Linked DNA regions of Drosophila melanogaster. The protein of the gene in region 1 purifies or fractionates together with the protein of each later gene. This does not show direct contact. Each region holds a gene or a part of one and is shown on either strand. Other genes may lie near its edges.

What was found.
Region 2: the proteins of pds5 (region 1) and Nipped-B purify together in Drosophila melanogaster (affinity purification with western blotting, with the first as the bait; one study listed by BioGRID). This does not show direct contact.

Annotation. Positions count from the first base shown.
Region 1 is NT_033778.4:12,026,186-12,036,506, reverse strand, and holds pds5 (precocious dissociation of sisters 5), read right to left. Parts: upstream 8,523-10,321; 5' UTR 8,275-8,522; intron 8,213-8,274; exon of another isoform or gene 7,955-8,212; 5' UTR 7,933-7,954; coding exon 7,852-7,932; intron 7,791-7,851; coding exon 7,405-7,790; intron 7,342-7,404; coding exon 7,134-7,341; intron 7,076-7,133; coding exon 6,907-7,075; intron 6,844-6,906; coding exon 6,102-6,843; intron 6,038-6,101; coding exon 5,774-6,037; intron 5,717-5,773; coding exon 5,623-5,716; intron 5,561-5,622; coding exon 4,715-5,560; intron 4,650-4,714; coding exon 4,513-4,649; intron 4,452-4,512; coding exon 4,372-4,451; intron 4,311-4,371; coding exon 4,045-4,310; intron 3,973-4,044; coding exon 3,682-3,972; intron 3,619-3,681; coding exon 3,526-3,618; 3' UTR 2,782-3,525; downstream 1-2,781. Other genes in the region: CG43191 (uncharacterized protein), read left to right, coding at 1-68, 124-278; CG8321 (uncharacterized protein), read right to left, coding at 629-731, 797-1,019, 2,075-2,372; Mppe (metallophosphoesterase), read left to right, coding at 9,259-9,284, 9,350-9,465, 9,522-9,784, 9,908-10,321.
Region 2 is NT_033778.4:4,724,898-4,732,328, forward strand, and holds the start of Nipped-B (Nipped-B), read right to left. Parts: upstream 4,121-7,431; 5' UTR 3,882-4,120; intron 3,655-3,881; 5' UTR 3,603-3,654; coding exon 3,536-3,602; intron 3,455-3,535; coding exon 3,283-3,454; intron 3,228-3,282; coding exon 3,112-3,227; intron 3,057-3,111; coding exon 2,897-3,056; intron 2,838-2,896; coding exon 1,951-2,837; intron 1,892-1,950; coding exon 1,727-1,891; intron 1-1,726. UniProt on the Drosophila melanogaster protein: Plays a structural role in chromatin. Involved in sister chromatid cohesion, probably via an interaction with the cohesin complex.

The DNA of each region.
Region 1 (10,321 bases):
AGAATCGGGGCCCGTCCTTCAGGGAATTTACTACGATTTCGAAGGCGTTATGAGTACTTGGAGCCCAGGTAAAATGCAGGAAACTGATAACCATTACATAACCAAAGTTTTATTCATTAAAAGGCTGCTTTGTCCATCTCGTGGGCCAGTTTATTGGCGAAAATCGCTTGAAAACATTTAAGATTGACCAGGTAAGCGACATTGACTGGCAACAGCAATTTCTGCGCATTGAAAATGTTACCTCGTATATTTTATTGCAAAACACTATGCAAAAGTAATTTATTTTTTAAGGATACAGTTTTCTTGAGATTTTTAGGCCAGGCGATAGTGTACTTTTCACAAGGTATAAATATGCTAGCCTAAGCTTTTCGATCCTGGCCTCCAATCAACAGTGAAATGTTTCATTTTGTACTTTTGTAGTTTACAAATCATGAATAATTTATAGAGTTAGTAACTTATAATTAATATACCTAGGAAATAAGTTAGCTTCAAAATGCCCCCTGACGATTCTCTCCAGGAGCATTGCACAGTTTCAAGGACTACAACAAATACAAATTCCGAAGTGGGCGTATAAAGTCTAATACTGGTGAACTTATTGAACTAATTGGAAGGAAATGGGTATTCAGTTCTACGAGTACAAGTCGAAGTACATGAAGACCGTGACCAGAAATCCGCAGAACAGGGCGCACAAGTAGCCCAAGTGCATCGAGGCAGTCTTCTCCTCGCGGAAACTGCAAATTGAAGTAAAGACTCCATGTTATAATGAATAATTAAAGGTGATTTCCCCAGAGCTTACCGTTTCTTGGAACGCGGCGTAAAGGGCGAGGGGGGATTTACGCCGGGCACCGCGCTGTCCAAGTACACGATTCCGTACGCGAAAGCTGCCACTAGAAGGCCACACAGCAGGGGACTCAGCCTGGAGCCCAGCTGGTGCCTGGTGGCCCACACCAAGGTCTCGTTCCACCTACTCTGCACCTGGTGGCTCAGCACCTGGATGGAATCGCCCGTGATGTATGGCACTGCAAAGAGAACGCCCAAAGCTCGTTAGTATCTCATTTTGAGTGTCGTTCTATTGATTTCACTGTTATCAGTCCTAGCGTGATAAACACGTCAAAATGTTGGGTTTATAACTAGGGTGGTTCAAATTTATTAGTCAGATATGTACGCTATGAGGGAATCAAAGCAATTTGGCTAAATGGAAAGAATTAGTGGGCAAAGAAATTTGCAAAAATGTACAGAAACCCCATTCGTTACACCATAAATAGCAAGGTTGCGCTTTTTATAGATTTGGACCGATGGGAAAGATTGGAAATAAATATTCGTTTGTATTGGTTTAATTATTTCTTTTCTCGACAATGTATAAAATTTGTTTTCTGCTTATATCAAATTTATATGTTTGAATTATTTAACAAATAGTTGATTAAACATGTGTTTTTTCTTTGAGCTTTGTTAAACTTTATTAAATTTTTTGTCGCACTTTTTTTGGAGCCACCCTAATGCAAAACCTGCAGCAAATAAAGATTGCTATATCGTCAGAAATGTAAAATTCGTTATTTTCCTGGGCCTTCTAGCGGTACCTTCTAATGTTTATATTACATACATTAGAATATACATGTATGTGTCGCGTGACGAAAGCCCAGTGCTAAATACCGTTAAGCTAAGCGTAGATGAATAACTAATAGCCGCTGGGCAAACAATTAACTAACTAATGGCATTTTGCCTCAAAGATGAAGCAACTAATCACTCTTTGACGATTTTTCTAAGGTCTTCAGTACGTTTGTATGCAAATGAGACGGCTAATGCGCATCAAACAATTTGCCTTCCTTATATAGACGTTTTTTCGCTATTCGGCGGCTTATGCAGGGGGAACAAACACCACCGCTATGAGATCACACGAACTTCAACTATTTATAAACGCGAGAATATAAACAAAGTGCGAGTAAAGACGACGCAACCGACAATTGCAACCTTGAATTCCCACCCCCGCCACACCGGGGATATACAGAAATAAACAAATGGAAATCCAATAAACCCACAATATATTTACGTTTAGCCCCCAGCTTGGCACACTTACTCGTTAAGATGACGCTTTTGTAGCCAATGATAAGAGTCCCAAAGAGAAGGGCCACCTTTTTGATCAGCGGATCGAGGGCGGTCACCACTCCCACTCGCCCCTTTTCCGAGGGTTTAGCAACACCTACGTAGTGCTCAAGTTTCGGATGCGAGGTCTTCGGCGTGGAGGTGTAGATCCGTCCGTTCGGTTGCCCGTTTTTTTTACTTCTGACTGCCGTTGAGAAAATCCCATTGGTTTTGTTTTTCTCCTGCTGGCGATGCGTGACGTCACAGCCGACTTCGGCTGGTTCCACCTGCATTTCGTGGTTTTGCCGGCGTAAGCTTTGTTTGGAATTAGTTTTCGTTGTTCGAACTGCGCGGCAAAACAACAATCAGTGTCTATTTAACTCGACAATTGTTTGGTTTATTTCACAATAGCACAAAAACAACAAGAAAAACGTCACACCCCCGAAAAAAAACAACGCAGAAAATGCAATTGGAACTAGTGATGGGAGAGTTGATGTTGCACCGTGAACTATCGACGGCCTCTTATCGATAGTTCATTTGTTATCAATATTCAAATTAGTTTTAGCCCTCCTAAGAGCGACTTTGAAATTGAAAAGAAAAAAGTTAGAAACAAAAATTATATTTTAGCCATTTTTTAAACTTACTTTATATTAAAAAAGTACAACATTTTAATAATTTAAACTAAAAGCCCATTTTCGATATCCATTTTAACATTTAAATAATAATCATACGTTTATTTGTAATTTAAAAACCATAATAATTGTTTAATGTACATGTTTTATAGTTTAATGTGTGTATTCATTTTATTTTTATCTTTGTAGTTTTCTTTCCAATTCTTACGCTTTTAGGTTTTCTTTTTGAATGCATTTTGAATGCATACTTGTTGAATTTAACGAGACAATTGTATGTATTATGATGATGTTACATTAACTAAAAATTAACTGCGATCATAGAAAAGTTAATTTTAATTACTTAATAAGGCTCTGTTTACGTTTTCATTACTTTACTTCGTACTTTAACTTATGCGCGATATACTTTCCTTTTTTTATTCGATATACAATAGTCTAAGAATAATGGTAAAATCAATCAATAAATCAAACACTATAAAAGAACAGGATAAAACATTTTAAATGATAAATAATTACTTTTACAGAGTTGCGGTTAACAGATTTTTCGACACTTTTTTCGTTTTTCTTTTTTTGATGTTTGTGTTTTTGGTGTATCTCACAAAATTGATATAGTACATACTGAATGCGAAACTGAACAATCCGAATTCTGGGTGCTTAGTTGTGAGTTGCATGGTGTGGATAAAGGTAGTGTCGGTTTAACAACTATCGTGGTCTTTCCTACGTCTTAAATATTTAGTTAACTTAGGCGCCTAGACTAAACATAACTAAACTAACAAGTATGCGCTCTCTCCACCTCCAATCTGCGCCATCCCAGCCCCTATGATTTGGCTGAAGCGGCTCCTGCGCGCGTTCGTTTGGCCATGGGCTCCGTAGTGTCAGCCGCTCGTATGTTGTCGAACAGATTGTTCTCCTGAAATCAAATTTCACACACTAGTTAGATTCATTCTCAGTATTTTCCAAGGACCTCACTCACCTGCGGATTTTCATCATCCATGATTGACTGTTCCGCCGGTCTCTTTGGAGCCACTGCTGCTCGCGACGTTGTCATTGCTGTTGCGGCAGCTTTGCTCGTGGATTTGGCTCCCAGCGTATACACGTCCAGCGGTATATAGACGTCATTGTTTTGGAAATTCGCAACGGCAGGCTCTTTATAATACATTTCTGGCAAAGCCAGCGGCATGGAAAAGGTGCTCGTGTTGCCATCAAATGGACTGAACTTGGAGTCGATAATGTACATGGCAAGATCGCAGAGCGCCCACATTTTCTGATAACCGAAAAATATATGTATAAATATAATTTAGAAGGGAAAGCCTGGGAAAATGATTGAGTGACATACATAGTTGTCGCGCTTGTCCGACCCCAGACTGAACTCGCGATGCTTTATCAGCTGCAGCAGCTGCTTGTAGAAGCTATGGACAAACGTTTCTCGTTTGGCCATCAGCGGCTCCAGAATGAAACGCAGGCACTTCTCCATCTTGCGCAGCTGTACGTAGTCCTCGTGATTCGTGAAGCGTGGATCGTGGACCAGCACGGGAATAGCGAAAGCCAGCATGTAGTCAGGTAGTATGTGTAATGATTGTGACTCCGTTGAGCTGTCGGGAGCTGGAATAATTTGATTTAATGGTTAAAATACACAATATGATTCCAAAAGTAAAACACCTACATGTCATAGCCACAGTCTTGAGATATTCCCGCCGTTTGTTTACATCCGTTTCTGCATAGTGACGCACAAGGTCTTGCAATCTGTTGAAAATATTTATCAATACTTCTCCGAACGGATCGGATGGTTTCTTGAACTACTCACTTCCTCTCAGTCTCTAGACCAGCCAGCACATACAAGCCCATGAAGTCCAGCGGCAAACAGTTCCTGGGCAAACTTCTGCTTAATCCTTTGTGCAGCTTGCGAGCAAAGATTTCCCGAACTTCTGGCACCGGATCAGCCTACGGGAACACCGAGATAGACATTGAGACTAAGTTCTAAGCACAAGATGAATGTCTCTACTCACCATCAGCTGGGAAAGCTGCAAATACTGCTCAGCGCTGTACTGATCACCTACGCCCTTTTGTTCGCACACTTTGAGCATGGCGCAGGCTGCCCCGAGGCGCAGCCAAGATTTCTCGGCACCGCAAAGACGGTTCTGGCCGAGCAAATCGCCTCGTTGGTTAACAAACGCCGCCAGCATTCGGAATGTTTTCTGGGCAGCGTGCTCATCGGTACGCAATCCCAAAAGCCACCTGGCCATAGCCTTGAGCGCATCCAGCTTACATAGAGTGTCCGGCGGTAGTTTCTCTTGGGCACACCAATCACTGTCCTCTGGCAGTTCGTAGTCTCGCTGCGCAGGAACTTCTTGGATAAGCAGCTCTTTGACAATTCGTCGCGCAATCATATTCTTAATGGGCGTTAGGAAGGCCTGTGGCATATTGTAGGCAATGTGACCCAAGGTCACAATCTTTGTGCGCTGATGCTCACAGTTTGGTGTCAGTTTTAGGCGAAGCGTCTCGATGATCTCGTTGAAAATAGGATGCACTGTTTGTGTAGTTGTGGACGCACTTCCAGCTCCACTTGTTGCTCCATCAGTGGAAGCCGACGACTGGCTGTTTACGAAAATACATCGCACCGCGTGCTTTGCTTGCTTGGGGGTTCCAATAAGTGCGAAGTCCTTGCACACCGGAGCCAGCTCGTCGAGAATAGCCGGTGTAGGGTCGTCAATGAGTGGCTGATAGCGCCCCAGATGAGTTAGTGTCTTTAGCACCAGTGGTGCAACATAATCCTGCTCGTAACTGAGCAGGGAAATTAAATGACGCAGCGAAGTATCGGTGAAGAAATGAGCCGAAAAGACGTATGAAAGCATCTGCAAGTATAAAGCAATCAAATGGATTTCTGTATCATAACTTAAATTATCTCTATACTCACGGCCAACAACTTGAGTCCGCGCTCGCCCGCTTCCTGAGCCGAAATTCCGATCTCTTCACACATGGACCCTTTCTCGATGCATTGTTCAATTAGGCTGAGCAAAAAGATTACCGGATTAAGTCTGGCAAAAGGGCACTTAAAAGCAATTTACCTAATAAGTACGCCAATAGACTCCTTGTCCACCATCACTGATGCCACGCGCTCAATCAGCATCTTAACTGTGTTGTAATACAGATTCGATTGGACGTGGGCGCCAAGCTTTTTCAGGAGAACTCCCATCGTGTCAGCACACTCCCGACAGCTTACGTCGCGTTTAAGGACAATGTTAATGCATCGTAGGAGCTGAGCATCTTTTCGCAGGTTGTTGCTAAACTGGGTTAGGTACTCTGCCGCTTTTAGGGGATCTGGAAGCAGTCTGAAGAAAAAAAAACACATCACTGGTTACAAACTATCAAAAGAAAACTTATTATAGAACCCACTTGGCAATGTTGGCCTGCTTGGCGCTGAGCTGACTAAGTACGCGCGGCGTGAACTCCTTAGAGTGGTGTAGCTTGATCCAATCACTGACCGTATTGCGTGTCTTCATTTGGTTCTTCTGCAGCTCGACGAAAGCCTTGGTGGCATTGGCATCGAGATCGCCTAGCAAATGATATAGCTTCTTCATGCGCTCTTCCGGAGCTAGTTTATAGGGAACCAGGCAGGTGATAAGTAGGCGTTCCACAAGCAGGCGGTCCTCCAAGCCCACTTTGTAGTATCCATGTAGTATCTTGTTCTTAATCCAGTCAACCCTGACCTTAAGGCCAGTGCTTAGATCGTTGGGTTCGCAAATTGCGCGCTTGTAGATGTAGGCCAGACCATTCATCGCATCCCTGCGAATTTTGTACTTCTTATCTAGCGTCCGCTCGCGCACAATTTCTAGTAGATCGGGCGCTTCGAGAACGAGGGTGAAGTCGCGCTTGGCAGTTTCCACAATAGCCATTACCACCTCGTGGCGGACCACTTCGTCAAGATCGTGATTTCGAAGCCGCAATTTCTCGGTGATATCGTGCTGAAGACTTGGGTGATTGAGCAGGAAGTGCATGGATGACTGAACACACTTGATGCGAACTGGTTCGGTGATGTCGCAGAAGCGCCCAAAGAAGATTTTCAACAGGTTGGGGTACTTTTTCGCTAGTTGCGAGTCCTTTTCGGAGAACATACGAGACAAGAGAGTGGTTGCCTCTGTAGTAACGAAAATATGTTTATTAATATGCAAATAGAGGTACATGCTGATAAATTACTCACTTAGCCTCTCAGCATCGTCCGTGGACAGCAGTTTGTTCTCCAGCTGAGGTAGCACTGAACACAACAAGCCTGCATTGATGCGGTTAAGCTCGTAAATGATATCATAGATTTTGTTTGTAATGGACAGTTTTGTGTTTGGCTTATCCATGACCAGAGCACGGTTAAAGAACTGTAGATCAGGGATTAGGTTGAATAACGTGGTGCACCAAAGATCAACGAAATATTACCATTTTGATGGTGGACTCGAGAGCATCGCCCGTTTTAGTGAGAAGTTGTTCTGTTAATTGGCAGGCAAACTTGTTGTTAGATTTGTACGGCTCTACGATGTTAATCAGAATGAGATCCAACAATTCCACCGACAGATTGTCGGCTTCTGTGATCAACGGGCTTAGCACATCTAGAAAAAAGTTAGTCACCTTGACACTGTGCTGGTCACTAGAAAATTATATAACATGTGATTATAAAGAGTTCGCAGGATAAAGGAAGAGCTCGACTTACTTGACAATCTTGAAGATGGTACTAAACAGGTCTTGGAAGATTTCTTGGCAGTCCTCCAGTTCGAAACACATATTAAAAGACTTGACAAAAGCAAGGTTCTCCAGCAGATAGAAGTAACGCTTGAAAGAGGGATCGCGCGGATCCTTCAGACCGTGCAGTTGCTTGATAAAAAACTTAAATATAGTTTTGATTTGATCTTGCTCTTTGTAGGGAGCCTCTGGCGCATAAACCCGCAGGACATCCGCCACGCAGCACGCGATTAAGAGCTGGACATCACGGGATGGATGTTGCATAAAGAAGTCGTCCAGCAGATGGAGGGCCAATGGTATGTATTGCTGGTAGAGATTGTCGTCCTGGTCCATGGTCTGCAGAACATTGGCGAGGGTCTGTAAAACAGAATCATTCTAAGTGAGAAGTTTTGCTAAGGGAACCAGGGGCAGGACTCACCTTGAGGCGCCTTATCAGCTCGTCTGTGCCCAAATCCTCGACCAGCGGCCGGCATCCGGTGGGGTACACTATGTCCGCCATCCTCACCGCCAATGGGAGCTACCTGCAAGCCAGGATTTCAAGGATTCAGTGGCAGGTGCAACAATTCCGTGCGACAGCAACAACAACGAATGCGACCCTCAAAATAACATTGAAAAAGTGGAGGAGGGTGGCATCACGAACACACAAGCACGAAGCTCCACACAAGCACACACACACATGGGCAGCAGCACCACAAGCACACAGAGTGGCCAATATTGTTTGGTTATTTCTTTTTCGCAAACAACAAATAGAGAGCGCCCAAATTGTAGCGCCCTTGCCACTGCAATTTACCCAATGTTTTATATTAAACTGCGGCGCAGTTTTTGGAACTCGGAATCTTACTTTTCACAACGGGCAGGAAGCGGCACAATTTTTTTGCAATTTTGCGAACCCCTGCTTTCGATGACCGCTTAGCGCGCGTCTCCTTCGAATCACTGCACTATGGATGGGATTGATCCTGTCCAGCTATTTACACATGTTCGGTTACAAGAGTCTTTTGCGGTGCTTATGTTGTTAAAAATAAGCAAAAACCAAGGAGCATTTATGTGGAGTGGCACGCCATTAATCCACGCACGAAGCGTTGCCAGAGGTTTTTTGGAAGTGTGGCCAGACTCTTCGCAGATTAGTACATGATTGCATTTCAGCTGATTAGCATTGACGTGTTGTTGGTGCTAGCGAGGAGAGCGGAAGGGGTCGTGTCACGAAATCGGATATATAATCGGAATGAAATCGGGATATAAATAACTTATTAAACTGTATTTATAAATTTACTTAAGAACAACATTTGAGTATCATGTTTGTTTTGCTTTGAGCATTCAGTTAGTGCTAATCACGCGCTCACCTCTAATTTTGTTTGTTGTGCTTGGCAAACAGCTGTAGCGTTGCCACATAGCCGTCGCGGCGCAAGAAGTGCAAACATAGGATAAAGATAATTGCACAATTATTGGCACCTGGAGCCGGCAAACGCTGTAACGGAATTGCCCGCGTTCAAAAGCCAATGGCGCGCATTGGCGAAACATCGGAGGAATGTGGTAATGGACGCAACACAACGTTCCGGCCGTTCTAGATGTTTTGCTTTCTAATCCAATTAAGCGTGTGCGCCCTGAAAGCGATGATGCGGGCCGGTTGTGGTCAGATGTGCGCCGTCCGTTGCAGCAGCTCTACATTCCCGAAAATATGAGCATTCTTACGTAAATATTGCATGGGCAGTGCGTATTTAAATATAGATTGTACATATAGAGACGCAATGTAAGCCAGTTGCATTTGCCAGAGGACAACCGAAAGTATTAATCAAGCAATCCAAACCGATGCGGCATAGCCGGGATTATGGCTTCCTTGCGCGTCGTCAATAGGTGGGTCATAGTTGACGTTACTTTTGTTAACCGAAACTATTTAATCCTTCCATAATCCCCGAAAGAAACAGATTAGTGTGCCGCGGTTTTGTGGCTCTTACGTTGCTGCTGGTCTTCTTCAACGAGTTTATAGTTTACTACATGGCCCAGTCCAGTTGGCAGCCAATCGATTGCAAACTAGGTAAGCCGTAACACAGTTTTTGAGTCGCATCATAACAAGCTATTTTTCCCACATAGATAATTGCACGCGCCTGCTGCTTATTGCTGATCCCCAGATACTGGGAAACTCCTACGATCGATCTTCGCACAGTCCTTTAGCCAGGTACGATTCGGATAGATACCTGGCGAAGACTTTCGAGCGAGCTCTTGCCTTTACACAGCCTCACATCATAGTGTTCCTGGGCGATCTGTTGGACGAAGGCAACATTGCCACGGCTCAAGAGTACAAGCAGTACGTTCAGCGGTTCAGACGAATTTATCAGAATAAGAACTACAAAAAAGTAAGGAGTACTGCTTTTGCTTCACCTTAAATTGTTGTTGCACCTATAATTATTTCAATTTAAAGTTTTTCCAAAGCGATTATACAACTTTGCGAATGGGATTGACCCCTTAAAACCTAACAGTTCCGCATGATCTCTGCCTTTTTTCAGCGCGTCCATGTGCCGGGTGACAATGATATTGGCGGCGAGAATGGCGACTACATATCCAACTCGAACCAAAGACGCTTTGAGAACGAATTCATGAGTGAAGACCTCTTTGACTATGACAATCGATTACGCTTCTTCAAGATAAACCGCATGCTATTGGACTTTAGCAACCCGGATAGGGATAACAATGCGGATCGTCTAAGAATTGGCGTATCCCATGCCCCGCTGCTCATTGGCGGAGGACCCCTGTTGAGAGCCATCATCAGCGACTTGGATCCACATATCATTTTCTCAGGACACTGGCATGAATCCAGAATATTTATTTACCCCTCCACCAAGGTGATCAACTTTTATGAAAACTCCGTGAGGCATTTTGACTTGAAGGCCCTC
Region 2 (7,431 bases), 7.3 Mb from region 1:
ATTCATAGTACGTCAAACGGACAGGTAGAAAGGTTTCACAGCACGCTTTTGGAAATATCTTGATGCCTGAACCTTGAAATGAATGCCTACAGTCAACCTAATTATTTAGGCAACCACCAATAAAAGACCATTCGACATTATTCATTCAACTCCTCCCGAACTGGCAAACAAAATAGTAGAAATGGTTAATGAAGCTCAGGAAAAACAGCTAAGGTAGGAAAAACCGTCTTGGTAAAACAAAACAATCCCTTGGGAAACAAAGTTACCCCACGGTATACGGAAAAAATATTCGAAGCAGACCTCTGGACAGCAATCCTCATAAAAGGAAGGGTCGTTCATAAAGATAATTTACGCTAGCTTTACTTTTAAAGTGTTCCTTTTGTGACCATCGCCAAGTTAGCAATATACACACATGACATGAAACTAGAAACAGAGTTGGTAAAAGTTTTTCAAATAAACATTTCTTAAGTCCTACGACTTATTTAACCTTTAAACCATTTTTAATATTTTATAATCATTCATTCATGTCAGTCTCTTTAGAACAGTTCAAAGTATGCGATGAAATGCTAAACTAAAAAAAAAAACTATAAATCCACGCAACCAGAAATATTTCCCTGAAATACCATCAAAAGCGAAAACAAAACGGCATAGTCTCAGTAAACTGCACTCACCCTAATTAGATTTGAATTCCTGATAAAAAAAAATACTTATGCTATCAATACCCTTCTCTGATTCTGTTCAACTAAATAACAAGGTCAATGCGTGCAATCAACAAGCGTTTTACTAAAATCACTGAAAGAAATGTATTATTTATTATTATTACTTGATTATTGTCAAAACTGTGACTTAAAACTGTAACTACCTCCTAAGTACCTCAGTAACCTTTCAGCTAACCCATGACAAGGAGAATCAAGAGGGTTAAAGAAATACACGGATCATCCAGATGATCAAAGCTGGCATTCCTTTGATGGTTTAAACCAGTACCAAGTTGGCAAAAAATCGGAATATATTGACAAGATTTGTCACCAATAAAAACTCTGTGGACAGCCTTCGTCTTATGAAAAAGAAAATATAGTCGTAAGCCTAGCTCAATAGTATTGTGAAGTTATAGGGCAAGCTTTAGAGATAACGAAATTGCTGTATTTAGTCGATTTTAGTATGTTCCTGTTTTTTCACATATTTTTAATTTTTTAAATTTCTATCGATTTGCCAAAAACTTTTTGCCACGCCCACTCTAACGCCCTAAAGCTGTCAAACCGGTCAACCACACACTTTAGAGCAATTTAAAAAACATTTCTCATTTTATTCCCCAATATTAATTGGGGAATGCATTCAAGCTTTCGCTGCATCAATTTCGCTGCATCAATATTAATTGGGGAATGCATTCAAGCTTTCGCTGCATCTTTGTCTCTAGAATTTGAATGCTGAATATCAACCTTCTAGTTCATATATTTCCTCCAATCTCGACGTTCATACGGACAGAGTGATATGACTAGATCGAATCGGCTATTGATCCTGATCAAGGATATACATATATACTTAATATAGACGGAAACGCTTTATTCTGCCTGTAACATACTTTTCAACGGATCTAGTATACCCCTTTACTCTAAGAGTAACGGGTAAAAATATTTGTAAACATAAGTGTCAATTAATCGAACTAATTAATAATAGGTCTTAAAGTTTCATAAATATTCTCTAGCTTTAACAGAGTATTTGAACTTACCTGAGTCAAAGTTAGGAGATTCACTATCGTCTAATATTTCAATTATGTGATCCATGTTTCGAATAAATTGTTGATATGTTTGCGAACGGGTGACTTCCTCCTTCACACACTTTGTGTTCGAAAGAGGTGTAATTCTTTCGACCCGACGCATTTTAGGCTTTGAAACTATAATATAATTTTGATCAATTAATTTTTGTATAAGGAAATTATTACTCATTACTTACATATTTGTTCCGGTGGGATGTCACCAATTGATATGGCAAGTTTTCTTTTCGCGGATCGTTTTTCATCGGCTTTTATAGTAGAAAATGTATCAATAGGGATTTTGACTGTATTATTTGTACTGGAAGCACGACTCTCTAATACACATTCTTCCGCACTCGTGGGTATAATATTCAAGTTTTCATGTTGCTGCTGGCACGTTTCTTGTAGTAACCCCATGCTTCTAGCCAATTCTGGTGACTTTTGTACAAACTTTTTAATACTCTGTTGCATAAGGCGAGAATCCTCAATACTAAGGCGATTTATACATACCCGGACCTGGGACTTGCCACTTGAGGAAGTAGATGTCGATGTAGTTGTTGATACATTTTGGTTCGTTTGGTACGTTGAACTTTTATTAATAATATGTAAGCTGGTATTTTCTAACACCTGTTGTCGATTTAAAATGCTGACGTCAAGAATTTGTGATTTTTTTTTTTTTAAATATTCAATTGAAGAGTGGTGTGCTTGAGTTGGTTCTGATTCAGTGAAAGGTGGACTTTGTACATATAACATGTTTGGGATATTTACAGAATTTAAATTAAAATTTGACGGCTCTTGGGGAAAAGTATCAGAAATATTTTGAATTTGACCAACATTTGTTGATACTTGGTTTAAATCATGTTTTAAATTATAATTGGCTTCTTGTTGCTGAATAAAAAACTGTTCTTGTATTGATTGCACCGTACTTCTTTCTGGTGTGTTAGACTTTTTTTTTAGAGTATTTTGTGAAAGTATCTTAGTCACATTTAAATCTGAATTTTCAATAACGTCAATTTTATCTTTTTCTGTTGCATTTTCCTTAAAATTTATTTGTGAAAATTCTTCTAAGATTTCTTTTGAGGTCATACTAAAACAGAAAAATGCATTAAATATAAGGCTTGTAGAATAATAAAATATATACGCCACCTAGTAAGCTGATTGAAGCAGGCTTGAGCGTCTTGCAATTGATGTTCATTTGAAATCGACAAATTTGTTGGTGATGCATAACATTCCGGTATTGAATAGGAATCAATTTGCATTTTCTTTGCCTCTAATCGAGCATTAGCAGTATGTTGGTCCGGAGAGTCTGTGGATGAAATTCATGTAATACACAAATGGTTGCTTTTATTATTAAAACATACGTATTTTTATGGAAGTGTTAAAAACCGCTGGGCGAAAATGATATATTCCCTGGAGAAGCTCAGGATAAGTACTACAGTTAGTTGCTGTGTCTTGAACTGGGCAATGTATTAACTCTCTAAAATACAAGTTATTTTAATAAAGCAAAACATACAATCAATTAAACAACTAACATATTATCGGAGTTTGTTCTCTCAATGGCAGTTACCAATTGTCGAACTAGATTTTCGTTTCGCATAGAAAGTAAATTGCTAGACTCGTTAGCTACCAAAGCATGGAACAATAAAGATTTATTTAAGGACGCAGCACTCTGGAGCGAATCCGCCACTGGTAGCTCGCTTAGCACTTGCATTTAAACGAGAAAAATATTAAAAGTTTTTAAACTTGTACATACACATTATATTTTCTTGCACAGAAAATACTTACAATCAGAAGTGCTGGTTAAACCAGCTAATGTTGTTACAGGTACGGTTGGGTTGTCACGTTCCCCCATATTAAATGTAAGGATAATCCGATAGATTACAACACAACTTTGATTCTAGGAGCTAAAAAAAATAAATCTATTATTCATTACGCTACAACCAAACATTATTTCATCAACATGATAAACAATGTAATTGGAAACAATGTTTATATGAATATATTAAAATATATGGATGTTGTCCAGCTGTATTATAAGTCACTTTATGTACTATCTTATCTTTTTAGTTTATAAATTAAAAATCTATTAGATAAATCCCTTTAAATTGATTTATAATAAACAACTACTTACGTAGTTAAAAAAATTGCGGTAGCATTACCATTTACCGTTATGTTATTGCGATCAACAATTATTAACGAATTGCCACAGTTCAATATAAACGAATTACTCCGGTTCTCCTTTGCGTTTTAATTAAATACCAACTTATACATTTACAATAATAAGTACTTGTAATTTTTTAGTTTGCGAAATAGTGTTTGAAGAATATGGCCGACCTGTAGGATAGTGTGGCCGCGCTAAACTTAATAAAAAAATACCTTTTCAGACCGAAACGTTAATACTTCATATATAATACTCCTTTCCAGACTATGTAGTTACACACCAACTCAATAAAACGTAGAGAGCTTGGATGTTTGAAAGATATTTCTAAAAGAAAAATGTTTTATTGCAATTTAGGGCATTACCGACTTGAAGCTACTTCTCCTGTCCCGATACTTATTTCAATAAATGTTAACAGTGAAAACGAGTCGATAAAAAGGTCTTCATTAGGAAATGCCGTTCAAAACGGCAAAACAACCGATATCGCATAATCTCTTTTTCCATATGAAATGCGTATGCTTACAAGATATGAATATTCAAGGATGTGCAATTGTATGCGAATAAATCGATTTTGTTTTAGTTCATTTCTTCCAGATCATGGATCTTGGGAAAACAAATTATTGATATATGATATATGATTACCTTACCTTTTTGTGCAATTATACGTAAAATTATTTTCTACAGGCTTAAAACAAATTTGCGTCTTGGTAAAGTCAATTGTCCTTCTCATACATGAGAAATATTTTGTGAATTAATAATTCAACGATTGAAGAACAATTGGCAATAAATGTGGAGCTCGTAGCCGGTACCTGCAGAGCTCGATCAATCGAATTATAGTCGAAAAGCGCCACATAGCGTCGTTTTATTGAGCATGTTTGCTCACTTACTAAAAACTTACCTTACATTGAGTGTGCGAGAGTGTGAAAAAAATTGGCCTAAAAAAATTGCTTACAAAGCGCGCACATACCGGTTCACAAAGGGAGACTAAATGAGTCGGTAGGCGGATTCGGCGGAGGTGGGCACCCAATTTACGGCCACCAAATATAAATGCATAATCAGCCTTTCCACGCTTACCAAAGGCTTAGGGCATACTCAACGTATATATCGTATATGCATACGTATTCTTTTTCTCTCCCCTGCTGCAAAACAGCAATACTGTGAGGGGTCTTAAAACTCACAATAAGTCCAGGAGAACAGAGCAGAAAGCAGTAATGCGGGAGGAGTCAGGTCAAACGCTGAAGATTGGACCTTGGACCCCGGTAAAGCGGAGAGACCGGCCAAGGGCACAGAGGTCGAACGGTAAAGGTGTTTACTGGACACGTGGACCTTGGACTCTAGCGAGCCGTGCGTAACGGGAAAATAAAACAGCCTATAGACGGCAGCAGCGCCTCTGGACCAGGCAGCTAAAGCATGTAGTGAGTAATAAGTGCACGAGGGTAGTCGAGCAGTGTATGGGCGGGAGTCTCAAAGTCAGGACGCGGACGCGTGGGTCCGTCAAGTGAAAACACAATTCAGGAGCAAAGTTCAGTGTGGGAACAGAAATTTTCTTAAACTAGACCCAGTTGGTATTATTGTTTGTAATAGAGCTGGAAAACCATCGATGGAACTATCGATACTATCGATGGTTTTAAGTATCGGTGTGAGATTTCTTCCGCAAAATCACCCGCAAAATGACATTCGGTGCGAATCGTGGCGACCCTTTCGCATCGATCCGTCCAGGGCGCGTTTAGCTTTCTCGGCATTGGGATGATAGTCGACCTTTAGGAATTTAAAGTTCTTATCCAGGTTCGAGAAGATCTCGCTAATCGTATGGCTCGTATGGCTTGAACGTCTCGCGTAGCTCAGCGTCGGTGATGTCATTGGTCAGGTTGCCCACATAGAGACGATTTCGATGGGAGAACTTCGTCTCCGTGGGCACTTCCACTGTTTCCAGTTCAAAGGTGGGCCCAGAAATCCTGCGAAACCGATGTTAAATGATGAAGTCTTCACAGCCGCGCGGACCACCATCTCCATCGCTACCACCACCCATATTGGTGCTGTTCATCGTGCCACCTGCACCTCCGCCAGGGCGTGGACCACGCTACTACCGACTACGGTTTCGGTTGTCTGCTGGTTCTGCGGGCTTCCGGAGAAACCGCCACCTTGATTGTTACCAGCATTGCGACCTCTGAATCCTTGACCACTTCCCTGAATTCCGGCTCCTCCTTGATTTCCTTGGCCTCCTTTATTGCCTGCTCCTCCTTGATTTCCTAATCCTCCTTGATTTCCTTGACCATGGACTTGATTTTGATTTTGGTTTTGTCCTTGCCGTTGATTTGGGCCCTTGTTGGCGTTCTGATTCGCTTGATTTTGGCCAGCAGCTGCAGTGGCCGGTTCATTGTTCTTAGCAAGTGCATTGGACCCGTCCGCCTTTGATGTTTCGTTATGGCGCTTTTGCTATATTTGTGTTATACATTTAAATAAATACAATATGCAATTGATATGTGAGCCACATCTGCAGTGCCGTCATTTCAATCCAGTTACACCATTTTAATACAAACTGAACTGATATAACATCGATTGAATCGGCTCTGCAGGCGTGCCCCCCTATTTAACTCCCCCCCCCCCCCAAATGTGAAGAATACCTAATATTTGTATACAATTAAGTGCCCGGGATAATCTAATCAACTTTATCGAATTTAGATAACTTACATTTGAATTGTTGATAGAGGGCCAGCATCACCGTCGACGATCGTGGCAAGCATATTGGCGAGGGCATAGTTGAGTTTGCCAAGAAGTCATCGGCCAGCGCCTGCCGGATGGATGTGCAATGAGAAGTGCTTCTTTCTGACTGCTTCCCTCAGACCGTGTCTGGTTGATCCGATGGAGGTGAACGACAACACAGAGAAGGAGTTCATCATCAAAAGATGCCCGACTTCAACCAGGATCGTAGCATTGGTCCGCGCTTCGCCGATCCCAATTCGTTTGAGCACGAGTTCGGGTCGCGATGGAAGCAGCTGGACAATTTGCTCAAAACCAAGCGGACGCACTCAATCGCGAACGGAAAATGGAGGAGGACAAGTTGGAGTACGCACGCTATGAGCAAGAAACTGAACTGTTGGGTCAAGGTCAGTATATGTCACGATTTAGGCGGGTTTTCCAAATGCCAACACCATTTTAACAATTTGCATATTTGATGCCCGATAAATCGAAGTGCATAAATGGTAAGGGTAACATATTTAAATTGATCCTTTGCACAAATTAAAACGAATCCAATTCGCTTTGCGTGTTCCTCAAACAAGTTCTTAACAACTAATGATATTTTATGCATTCACAAAGTATTTGATTCGCATTGAATGCTTATTGGATGGTAAGAATGTCATTTTTACTTTTTAAATTAAATATTCATAAATTTATCTCTTTTCAGGCAAACAGTGAGAGTCTGAAGCCAATAACCAAACTTTGTAAAAAGTACCTGTGCATTTCGGCCGGTTCAACAGAATCTGAAAGAACCTTCAGTAAAGCTGGTCAGATTGTATCTGAC